Alligator mississippiensis: one gene and its partners. The protein of the gene in region 2 purifies or fractionates together with the protein of the main gene of each other region. This does not show direct contact. Links are inferred from orthologs where the notes say so. Each region holds a gene or a part of one and is shown on either strand. Other genes may lie near its edges.

Region 1 (3,740 bases), on a different chromosome or scaffold from region 2:
AGGGGTTCAGAGCTGGAAGACAGAAAGGAGCCTGGAGGAACTTCATTGTGAGCAGAGACTGACAACACCCAGTGTTTAGATGGGCGAAGCAGCAAGAGCAGCTCCCTGACGTGGCAGAAGACGCTGGCGCGAGGGCCCGCTCTCCTGAGCAACGTCAGTGGCACCCGGTCCAATCTGGGGGGGTTTTTTGAGGGCCTAATTGTGACTGTCTTGTACAGAATCTGGCCAATACCTATTGGCCTGCGAGTCACAAGTCGGATCCACCGGATCCTTCTAGCCTTAATTTCCAGTGACCACAGACACAAGATGGAGAACGGCCTAGGGCAGGGACGCTCCAGCTGCAGCCCAGCCCAGCCCGGGGAGATCCCCACGGGCCTGGAAACCTGACAGCAGGGAGCGGCGACAACGCCGACGGCTGCCCCCCTTCCAGACCAGGGGCACCCCCACGGGTCTCAGCGCGGCCCTGTGCACGAGCAGGATCCGGGCGTGCGGGCTGGGCCGGGCCGCGTGCCGGATCACGCCCGTAGACCGGCTCCGCGGGGCTGGATCACACCCGCGCACCAGCCCCAGGCAGCCCTCGAGACCAGCGGCTCGGTCTAGGGCAGGCCTCCAGCTGCAGCCCGCGGAGCCGCGGCACCTGGCTCCCGGGGCTCCCGCGGGCGGGCGGGGGGCTGGGCCGGGGGCGCAGCGACAATTAACACGGACACCGCCCCGCTGACAAACGCCCAGCCCCCGGCAGCGGATCCACGGCCCCTGCCTCCCCTTGCCCCTGGACCGGGCCAGGCCGCGCCCCCTCCCCCACGCGAGGCCAGGTGTGGGCTGTGCCAAGCGCCCTCCCCCACGGCCACACAGGGCCCCGGCCCGGGACCCCTGGCCAGACCCGGCCGCGCCCAGCAGCTCGGCGCGATCGCAGACTTTATTCATAACAATCCTCTCCGTGGAGGCACGGCGCGGCCGCAGGGCCCGCGGGACGGGGCGGCGAGGAGCCGGGAGACAGACACCTCGAGCATCCCGCTCACTTCAGGAAGGACGAGCAGCCCCCCCGGGGGGAGGGGGCACCCCGCGGAGGGGGAGGGGGGCACCCCGCTGAGGAGCCCCACGGCGGGGAGGCCACCCCGAGGATGGGGGGAGGAGCTCCCCCCAGGGGGGATGGGGGCCCCGCTGAAGATCCCGGGAGGCTCCGCCCCCGCCCCCGCCCGGGGCCGCCGCGGGGGGGGCCGGGGGGGACTCAGGGACTCACCGAGCGTCGCCTCTTCATGGCGCCCGCGTCCGCGCCGCCACGTCATCACCCCGCGACGGGCACAAAAAAAAAAAAGGCGCGCAAGAGGCCCGGCGCGCGGCCGACACGTCATCGCGCGGTACCCCTTGGCACCACAGAGACGAGGGGGTGGTGCCAGACAAGCCGCTTCCGGCAGGAGCATAGAGATCGGCCCGCAGCTACCTAAAGCGCCCGTCAATGATTGGCTCCCGGGGACTGTGACGCAAATACACAGCGCCAGCACTGGGCGGGCCCAGGAGACTTCCTGTCTTTTCTCAGCGGGCAGCTCGGCTCCCCGGAAGCGCTCTGTTACCCGGAAGCGGAAGTGGTTGGCAAGATGGCGGCGGCAGCAGCAGTGGGGGAAGTGGCGGCAGGTGGCCCGGAGCCCCCGGTGTGCGTGCTGGTGCTGGGCATGGCCGGCTCCGGCAAGACCACGCTCGTGCAGGTGGGGGCCGCACCCGCCCGGCTGGCTGGGAGGGGCAGGTCCGGGGGGGACCTGGCTGGGGCGGGACGGGAAGGGGCGGGGGGTGCTTGTTGTCCGTCTGCCTCATCCCCCGTCTCGTGCCATCTCGCCCCAGCGGCTCGTCGCGCACCTGCACGGCCAAGGCGCGCCCCCCTACGTCATCAACCTGGACCCCGCCGTGCACGAGCTGCCCTTCCCCGCCAACATCGGTGAGTCGCGCGGGGGGGCTGGGGGAGCTGCGTGCGGTGTCGGCAGAAACGGGCGTCTCCATAGAGCACGGAGCGATGGGCCATCCCAGCCGCGGCTCGCAGCCTCCCCCCGCACGGCGGCGCTTCCCGTGTCGAGGGAGCCGTGGTAGCGGAGCGAGCCAGGACGCCCAGGTGCGCGTCTGGGTGCACCTCCCCGGTTGAGGGGGACTCGGGAATCGTGTGCTCTTTGCTACGATTTGAAACTGGGGTATGAGGCTCTCGTTGCCTGATAATCCCCAAATCTTCTTGTTCTGTCAGCGGGGGACAGGCGGCCGTGAGGCAGCGCACTGGGTCGTTTCCTCTAGCGTCGGGAAGGGTTGGGTGCCAGCGCGATGCTGTTACGGAAACGACTGCGCTTCTGAGCCTTGTGTTCGCCCCCTCTTCGGCTTTCACCCGTTCCCTGCCTCAGGGTGGAGATGAGACATGCACACGCGGGGGCGGGGGCTACAGCCACTTCAGCAGGTCGGTTTTGGGCTCAGACCCTCTCCATGGCCACCTGTCAGCACACAGATCCCCGAGATTAAAGTGTCGCATATTTCACTAGCTTAGGGAAAAAAAGCATTTTGGAGAAATCAAAGCTTGGAAATCATAGAAGACCCTACACGTACCTCGCTGTTCCTCAGGCGTACTCTCGTGGAGCTGGAGAGGCCCGGTGCTTTTAGGTGTCTCCCCAGAGCTGAGCCTCTATCAGCCTGTCTTCCTTGGCAGTAAGGGTGGGAGCAGGGTAGCAAACAAACGTGTAATGCTGGGTGAGGGGTAGGAGGAAAGGATTTTGCAGCAAAATGAACAGGCAAAAGTAATGGAAGATAGTTATTGTTTGACAGGGCTCCAGAGTGCTGGCCCCTGCGAGGCAAATAACTGCCTTTTTTTACCATATTTAGCCTTAACCATCCTAAAAGCCAAGAGTAGATTAGCAGGCATGGGAATTTGGAAGTCTGTTCTGCGCAGTGGGGTGGGTTTTACAAGTGTACTGGGACAGCTAACATAGGTGAACTGACATAGTCTGCCGTGAGACTCCTGTCACTGCTGCTAGGTCCCTGCACCGAGCCAGGGAGGGGGTAATTGAATCCCTCCTCTTTCTTTTGTAATAAGAACGTATTCGGTTAGTAGAGTGGTCACGTGCATCACTTTCTTTTCCTAGATATCAGAGATACAGTAAAATATAAAGAAGTCATGAAGCAGTATCCTTTTTTTGGTCTAAGGCTGCATGCTGAGCTGCTCTCCTGGGCGGACTTGAGGCCTGTGGGTTGGGGTTGATCAAAGGATTTCAGCTGGGAGCAGGTTTGAAGAAAGAGAGAGAGACCTTTGCTTTGGCTGGTTGTGTTTTTCTTGGAGAAGGTACAGACAAACGTACGTGTGTAGTAGGAGCTGCCACCCAGGAGCCTTCTGTAACTGTTACCTAAGCACAATTCTCTACCCCATAAATGAGCTAAGTTGTCATAAGCAGGGATCGTGGTTTTCTCTATTTAAAAATGGCAAATTCTCTTATTAACCCCCCCCCCCCCATGGGCTTTTTCTGCAATTAAAATGAAATGCCACTATATATAGAGGTATCAGCTGAACACAATGGTTTATTGAGAGATTTACAATTTTAAAGCAATTTGGAAGCCTACCAGTGCCTCCAATCATCATTAATAAAATACATTCTAAATACCTACATATTTTGGCATTTGATTTTGTGTTTTTTGTCATTTAAAATCAGAATTCTTCCTGCCCCCTTTGCTCGCTAGGGCACTGCACTGCCCCCCCCCCCCCCCCCCCAACACTTTGT
Region 2 (3,740 bases):
CGGGCGGTCGGTTGTGCACGCTTTCACCCCGGAGTGGGACGGTGCCCTGCCCTGGGGCAGCGCTCCGCTCCGCTCCCCACCCCACCCCACCCCCCATACCTGGTGCTGGGGCTCGGCCCGCAGGTGCGCGACGCCGCCGGTCTCGGCCTGCAGCTCATAGGTGAGCGCCAGCACCTGCAGGTCGGCGGGGGACAGCGACGGGAAGTCGCCCGTCTTCTTCGAGAACTCCGTCACTGCGGGGAGGGGGGCGGGGTCAGGGCCACCCCAGGCGTCTGGGCCAGGGGGCGGGGCCAGAGCCGGGAGAGGGGCGGGGCCAGGGGGCACCCCAGGCGTCTGGGTTAGGGGCGGGGTCAGAGCCGGGAGAGGGGCGGGGTCAGGGGCACCCCAGGCGTCTGGCCCAGGGGGCGGGGTCAGGGGCACCCCCAGGTGTCTGCGTCAGAGCCGGGGGGTCGGGGGCCAGCACTCACCCAGGCGCACGTGCTCGGGCCGCGGCTGGCGGAAGAGGAGCGGGACGGGCAGGGCCGCCAGACGCCGCCGCGCCGCGCGGTCGCGGATCTCGCCCACCACCTCGCGCACCGTGTACACGCGGCGGCCGATGTCCTGCGGGGAGGCGCCGTCAGCCCCGCCCCGCCCTGCCCCGCCCCGCGCCGACCCCCCCCCCCCCCCCCCGCAGTCCCGGCCCAGCCCGGCCCGGCCCGGCCCGGCCCGGAGCTACCTGCAGCGGCGCTGCCCGCAGGAAGGCGCCCGCGTCCACCACCACGTGCTCCACCGCCGCCATCTTGACCACGCCCCGCGGCATGCCGGGAGTCGTAGTCCGGCGGGCGGCTGAGGGGGGCTGCCGCGCGGGGCACGCCGGGATCGCTATCGCTCCTCCCCCCTCCCCGCCTCCCGTTGGGTCAGGTGACCTGCCGGCGTCACATGACCGCCGCGCGCCGAGCCGGAAGTGCCGCGCCGCCGTCGCCGGTAACCGCGGAGCGGGGGGAGGGGGTGGCCGTTGGCGGTTGCCCGGGGAACGGCTCGAGCCCAGCGCGCGTTTCCCTGCCCCCGCCCCTCCCCTCCTCTCAGGCGGGCGGGGCCGCGCGGGGCGCCCCGAAGCTGGTGCGAGTCGGGCCCGGGCCCGGGCCGGGGCGGGGATGCGCTGCGGCCGTGGACACGGCGCCGGGCCTCCTTGCCTTCCCGGCCCCGCGGAGCTGCGGCCCGGAGGTGGGTGGCTGGGGCGGGGGGACCCCCTGCCGCCCCTCCCTCGCCGGCGGGCTCAGGGGCGGTCGGCGTTCGCGACAGGGAAGGCGGCTCCGCGCCGGCACAGCGGTCATTCCGGCCCTTCTCCGCTGCCAGGGTGTTTAGCGCGTGCCCCGTCCTGCCCCTCCCCCTCCCCCTCCGCAGCTCCCGGCGCCGGTCGGGCAAGCGCCAGCCCGACTTGGGTTTGCGAGCGCCGTCCCGCGCGCCCGGCTCCTGGCCGTCGCTACGCCTGCAGCCGAAGGGGCCGCCGGCCAGCGCGGCTTCCTGCGTGGGACGAGGGGCAAAGTCTGGCAGCCGAAGGCACCTGGCTCCTGATCTCGCTCCGCCCTCCCCAACGGTCGCACCTGGCCAGGCAGGGCAGCAGCGCAAAAGCTGCGTGTGAGCTGGGTCGCGATCTGCGCCCGGCCCCGCTCTGGGAAACGGGGCGCGCGAGGATAAACACGTGTGTCCGCGCGGAGGAGAGGTGACCAAGGCGTGGAGAGGCAGGACGTGATCCCGATGGGCACTGCGCTGCGGCACGGGCCCTTCCTTTCCTCCGCGTGCCACGGTTGTGCCGCGGGAGGTGCAGCCAGCGTCGCCGCCCAGCTGCCTCTGGCCCCCGAGCACGCGGGCAGCTCCTTTTCTCCAGCCAGACGGCTGCGCTGGGGCAGCGGGGCCGTGAGATCGGCTGCTGGGTCTGTGCGTTGTCCCGGGGCCCCGGTCCTTTGCGGTGCCGTCCCCGTGAGGCCCGCTGTGTGTTGCTCGCACGTGCTCAGCCTCTTGCCGGGGGCTCCTTCGTGACGCCGAGTGGGCAGGCCCGTGGGGGTCGGCCGTGGCCAGGCAGCAGCGCTGCAGCCGCTGGGCTGCTCCCGGCCTGCGGTTCAGTGCTGACTTCTGGCTGCGCCTCTGGCATCGCCAGGGTCTGCCGGCCATCTGGGAGCGACCGGTCCCAGCCCCGCCGGGGTGGTCTCATCAAACGCAGCCTTGGGCTCCCCTGGCTCCTTGTGAACCTTCGCTCATGTGTCGTGCCTGTCTTTGCTTTCCAGACCCGTGGTAATGACATGGCCTCCGCCAGCTGCAGCAGGGCCGGGGCAGGGCTGCCCTGTGAGAAATCCCAGCTCTTGCTGAAAGGTGAGTGCAGGGCAGGGCCTGGGGGAAGGAGGAGCCCTGTCCAGGCTGGAACACCTTGCTTTCCAGCCAAGGGGTAGGATGTTCCTCAGCCCTGCACTCCCTCCCGGTGCCTGGGAGGAGGTGCGATGGGGAGAAGGCTGGCTTAGCCGCGGGTGCCAGCTGCGCTCGGGGATTGCACAGCTAAGTCCTGAGAGGCACAAAGCCTTCCAGAGTCAGATTTAGCAGCTGCCTCTTGTCAGTGCCCTGATCCCAGCACCAGAGTGGGGGACGATCCCTAGCCAGGGTGGGCTTGGCCACAGGGAAGTTGGGGCCCCCGGGCTGGCCCTGGGCAGTGGCTGAGCTGTAGAAGGTGCCTCATGGGCAGGCTTGGGCAGGAGACCTAGGAAGAGCCTTTGTGCTGAGCTGGAGCTGGGGCTCTGCTCGCTCCTCGCTCCACTTGGCAAGTAGGAGGTGGAGCCGGCGCTCGCTCCCGGAGGGCCGCCAGGGGGCTCCCGACACCTCCGGCTGCTCCCCCGGCTTCTGGCCTGCCCCTGCTCTCGTCGCCCTTCTTGCACCCCATGGGCTGTAGCATGACACTGCCCCACTACCGCAGAGGAGACGCCTCCTTTCTGGGCTCCCCGACACCTCACTCTTCCCCCTGGGCTGGTGGCTGGAACCCAGGTTCCTGCAACAGGGCTGGCTTCTCGCTTTGGCCACTGCTGAGAGGCACCTGGGCCTCCTTGGGCTGGGCCCAGCTGATGCGTTGTCCTGTAAGAGGCCCAGCAGTGCTATAAGCTCAGGGCACAAAGGGGAGCCTCGTGCAGGAGCGGGGTAAGCCTGTGGAAAGGCAGCTCCGAAGGCCTGGTTTTCCTGTGCCTGGCCGTGTGGCCTGGCTGGGGAGATTGTGCTGAGAGGGACAGACCCGGACACCCTGCGCTGGGCTCCTCCTCCGCTGATGGTGCCTGTTGCACGTGGGGCTGAGGAGTGGGCTGGCGACAGACGGTGACCGCACCTCTCCTGTCGGCCTAGTGGTGTCCATGAAGCCGAAGGTGTACAGCCGCCAGTCCCGAATCAACAGCTACGTGGAAGTGACGGTGGATGGACTTTCCAGTGAGACCAAGAGGACGGGGAAGCGGACTGGGAGCTCCGAGCTGCTCTGGAACGAGACCTTCACCCTGTAAGAGCCCCTGCTGCCTCCTGGGGCTGTAGGAAGGGGTGTGGGGCAAGGGCAGGCACCTGGGGGAAAGCGTTAGAAATCTCAGTTCCCAGGGGAGGGGGTTGTGCTGGGCAGGAAGGTTTGGGGCTAGCAGGAGGGGCTCTGGCTGCCTGGTGTCCCTGTGACAGCCCTGATTTCTGGCTGTTGTGCCTGGCCTGTCTGAGGCTTCCCTGCTGGCCACAGCACTGCTCAGTAC
Region 3 (3,740 bases), on a different chromosome or scaffold from region 2:
TCCCTTTCCCAAATCTTCTTCCTACAAACAGGTAAAAAATGTAGGTTCTCCTCCCTGTTCCAGCAAAGCTCATTAGCATTCCCACTGTTCAGTTAAAATACTGTCATTAAGTTCCCTGGTCTGCTAGGGACACAAGAGGCCTTGTTAGGAAAGGTGACTGCACAAAGACATTTCCTGATTCAGTGACTGTCATACTAGCAATTTGATACTATCAATCCAAATTCATAAACTGTAGATAAGATTCCCCAAATCATCACGGCAGGGATAAAGGAGCCTTTTGTTTGCTGCCCCATGCTGTTGTTTGCAGTTGCAGCAGTGCCTGAATTTCAATTCCTTTATGATGCGCACAATGTGTAAATCTGTTTGCCAAGCGTTTGGAGGGGAGAAGTATGGCAATAATAAGCCCCCGTCACTACACAGTCATGTTGGTTGTCAAGCTGATTTCAAGATGCAACGATTTGCTGACTTTCTTCCACAGTCGTCTGCTGCCAGGCACCTGGGTTTGTAGCTTGCCTGTGAAATACTTGTCTTTCTGATGTATTTATCTCTGTCAGGGCCAAGCATCAGGAGTGCAGAAGCTGTGCTAACCGTTGAACCATGGGAAGACCTGCAGGATTTGCTACTCCTTTTTTGAGGCGGATCTTCGCAGGGAAGCCTCGGAAGACACCGGCTGCCTGGCACAGCACAGCTGGGCCCCTCTCGAGCCCTGGGACGTCCAGCTCCCTCCTGCAAGGCGCTGGTTGTCCGGCCTCTGGGGCTGTCAACCTGCTCTCTGCTCTGCGCTCCAGTGAGAGCTGCACAGGAACCGGCCACGCAGCTGTTGCTCATTTTCAAGCACTGACTGTCTCTCTGTAGCTGCACGGCCGGCTCGACGCGGCCACCAGCACTTGGCCCAGAGCGCTGGGCCGCCTTTCCCGCGACGCGTACCGTGCGGCCACGCCCCGAGGGCGGCCAGCGGCCCGGCGGCGCCCCCTGGCGGGAGCCGAGGCCCCAACAGGGCGGGGAGGGCTGCGCTTCCGCGGCGCCTGCGCGGCCGGGCCGGGCCGGGCCGGGCGATGGCGGCCGGAGGCAGCGACGCGCGGGCGGCCGACGTGGAGGAGGACGCGTCGCAGCTCGTCTTCCCCAAAGGTGCGCGGCCGCCACCCCCCGCGGGAAGGAGCCGGGAGCAAGAAGGGACGGCGGGCTCTTTCCCGCCGCGACCTGCTCTGCTCTGGCCCCTCCCTCCTCGCGCACGTGGGGCCGCGGACAGGCCCCCCGAGGTGCCCGGGCTGTGAGCGAGGGTGGCCTCGCCGGGCTCCCCGGGGCTCGCCGCACCTGGCCGCGGGGGAGCAGTGGCCATTCATACACCCGCCCTCCCCCTGACAGCTCAGGACAAGCGTCGGGGCTTCTTAACCTGGCAGGGGAAATACCATGTATGTGTGGCAACGCAGGCAGTTGTCCTGACCCGCTGCGCAGGAGAGCTGCTCTTCTGGCGTGGTTCAGGGCCCGCCAAGGTGCAGCGGGTTTAAGCCCACTTTATGGGCATGGGAGTCTCCTCCGGCACTTGCTCCGAGGGCCTGACGGCTGAGGGCAAGCAAAACTCAGGGGCATCTGAACCCCAAACCTCTAGGCTTGGGCCTGCAAGTAGGATGCCTGCCAAAGGTTTTGGAAACATCTGAAGCCCCAGGTGAGGGTGCAGGATGTTTGCCGATAGTAGGGCCACTTATGATTCTGGACTCTTGGATTGGGATTTAGTTTTGGCTAATTTGGCCTCCGATATAAATGTATTAAAACCGCCTTCCCTGCTCCCTGCCCATTGCCATATCTGCATGCTCCTCCCCAGCACACAGCCAGATGGGGCTGGGCCGGGCCAGGCCAGCCTGCTTTGTTTCCCTCTGGCAGGGCCCCCTCCCCTGTGGGACTGGGTTAGATCTGCTCCCGTGGGGTGGGGGGAGCTGAAGCAGGGCCAGGAGGCCCCCAACACAAATACAAAAGCAAGGATATAGACATGGGCTTCATTATCAGTGCTGATCCCTCTCTCATGCTGAGATTTTTTGCTCTTTCACCTAGAGTTTGAAACTGCCGAGACTCTTCTCAATTCAGAAGTACACATGCTGCTTGAGCATCGCAAGCAGCAGAATGAGAGTGCAGAGGATGAGCAGGAGCTCTCAGAAGTCTTCATGAAAACGTTGAACTACACGGCTCGTTTCAGCCGCTTCAAAAACCGAGAGACTATTGCCAGTGTCCGCAGGTGAGTAGGAGAGACCAGGAAAGATTTGTGTCAGGGAATTTATTATGTATGGTATTGGTACTGCGCAGTTAAAATGCCTTAGCTATGTTGCCAGAAGAGGGGTGCACTTAGATCTCAGCCAGGCTCTATGTTCTTTCTTGAGTGGGTTATGATAGATGCCTTCAAAATAAACATTTATGAGTGACATCAGATCAGTCTTTTTGGAGCCTGGGATGATTAGTAGTAGTGGTAGTTGAAGTGGGGTTGTACTTATGCAAATGCACTCTTTTTTTTTAATTTGCCCCTCCTTCTTCCCTCCTTTTTTACTGCTTCCACTGGTACATTTTCCTTTCCTGTACTTTTTTATTCTGTTGTAGCTATATTCTTACCATCTTATTTTCCCTATCTGCAGTTTATTGCTCCAGAAGAAGCTCCATAAATTTGAATTGGCGTGCTTAGCTAATCTTTGTCCTGAGACAGCTGAGGAGGCCAAGGCTCTGATTCCCAGGTGAGAATTTGTATTTAGCAGGGCTGCTGTGTGAACTGTGGGGCTCTAAGATACAGGAAGAAAGGACAAGCTGGGGTCACCTGTGGGTTTTTCCTTTGCACTGAAAACTTCACAGACACACTAGGCTGGCCTATGAGTGCAGGTCCATATAGGACTTCAGTCAGATGTCTTGTGGGTGAAGGCCATTACAAAATTACTATCTTGAAAGAGGTCAAAGGAGGGATGGTGTCTGGTTTGCATGACAGCCACAATATGAGGCTCAGAACAGTGTCTGCATTACACTGTTGGAGGAGTTGCTAGTTGGTACAAAACAATATGTTAAGAGGAATTCTGGGTCTTTGAAAACAAATGTGTCTAAAGCCATTAATTTACTGTCATTGCTCTTATCTTGCAGCCTAGAGGGCCGGTTTGAGGATGAGGAGTTACAGCAGATTCTTGATGATATTCAGACCAAACGAAGCTTCCAATATTAGGGTTAACACCCAGCCCCTCTTATGAACAGAGAAAAACTCAAGTGCTTTTTGCACTCCAGACCAAATCAGCTGCTCCCAGACCTGAGCTAAGGAAGTGCCAGGAGCAGAGTACTCCAGCCTGGTGTCCACCACAGATGCATTCAAATGGGAGGCCAGTTAGTCCATAAAAGAGACTCTTTTATGGTGAGAGCCATTGGATCCTAGAAAGTCTTGTCTGAGTGGTGTCAGTGCTTTGCTTTTCCTAACAGCCTGTCCCTGACTTGTGAATCTTTACAGTGTTTTTGGTTTCTAGAATAAGTGCAGCTGTACAATTTTTTCCTTGTGTACACCTGTTCCCCAAGATGGAGAAATTATTCCTACTGGTTGTTGGCAATCATAATGATGCATGGAATCAGGACTGATGAGACTTCGTGTGGTGGTTTTTATGTATATGTTTGATCAAGATAGTGGGATTTTCCCCCTTTAAGAATACTTTTGTATAGCTTTTTAGTTTTAATTAAAAGGCGCTATTTGTATGTATGATCCTGTGGTTTGTAAACAGTATCTGATT

What was found.
Region 1: the proteins of WWP2 (region 2) and GPN1 purify together in Homo sapiens (affinity purification with mass spectrometry; 3 studies listed by BioGRID and IntAct, with this or other methods). This does not show direct contact. The link is inferred for Alligator mississippiensis from reciprocal best matches to the Homo sapiens genes WWP2 and GPN1.
Region 3: the proteins of WWP2 (region 2) and POLR2D purify together in Homo sapiens (affinity purification with mass spectrometry; 3 studies listed by BioGRID and IntAct, with this or other methods). This does not show direct contact. The link is inferred for Alligator mississippiensis from reciprocal best matches to the Homo sapiens genes WWP2 and POLR2D.

The regions. Positions count from the first base shown.
Region 1 is NC_081824.1:457,227-460,966, forward strand, and holds the start of GPN1 (GPN-loop GTPase 1), read left to right. Parts: upstream 1-1,552; 5' UTR 1,553-1,595; coding exon 1,596-1,703; intron 1,704-1,836; coding exon 1,837-1,930; intron 1,931-3,110; coding exon 3,111-3,150; intron 3,151-3,740. Other genes in the region: ZNF512 (zinc finger protein 512), read right to left, coding at 1,241-1,258. UniProt on the Homo sapiens protein: Small GTPase required for proper nuclear import of RNA polymerase II (RNAPII). May act at an RNAP assembly step prior to nuclear import.
Region 2 is NC_081833.1:76,451,313-76,455,052, forward strand, and holds the start of WWP2 (NEDD4-like E3 ubiquitin-protein ligase WWP2), read left to right. Parts: upstream 1-867; 5' UTR 868-918; coding exon 919-963; intron 964-1,113; exon of another isoform or gene 1,114-1,203; intron 1,204-2,264; coding exon 2,265-2,349; intron 2,350-3,357; coding exon 3,358-3,505; intron 3,506-3,740. Other genes in the region: RNA-binding protein NOB1, read right to left, coding at 100-233, 468-600, 716-799. UniProt on the Homo sapiens protein: E3 ubiquitin-protein ligase which accepts ubiquitin from an E2 ubiquitin-conjugating enzyme in the form of a thioester and then directly transfers the ubiquitin to targeted substrates.
Region 3 is NC_081830.1:39,463,034-39,466,773, reverse strand, and holds POLR2D (DNA-directed RNA polymerase II subunit RPB4), read left to right. Parts: upstream 1-1,018; 5' UTR 1,019-1,055; coding exon 1,056-1,128; intron 1,129-2,049; coding exon 2,050-2,230; intron 2,231-2,621; coding exon 2,622-2,717; intron 2,718-3,111; coding exon 3,112-3,190; 3' UTR 3,191-3,705; downstream 3,706-3,740. UniProt on the Homo sapiens protein: Core component of RNA polymerase II (Pol II), a DNA-dependent RNA polymerase which synthesizes mRNA precursors and many functional non-coding RNAs using the four ribonucleoside triphosphates as substrates.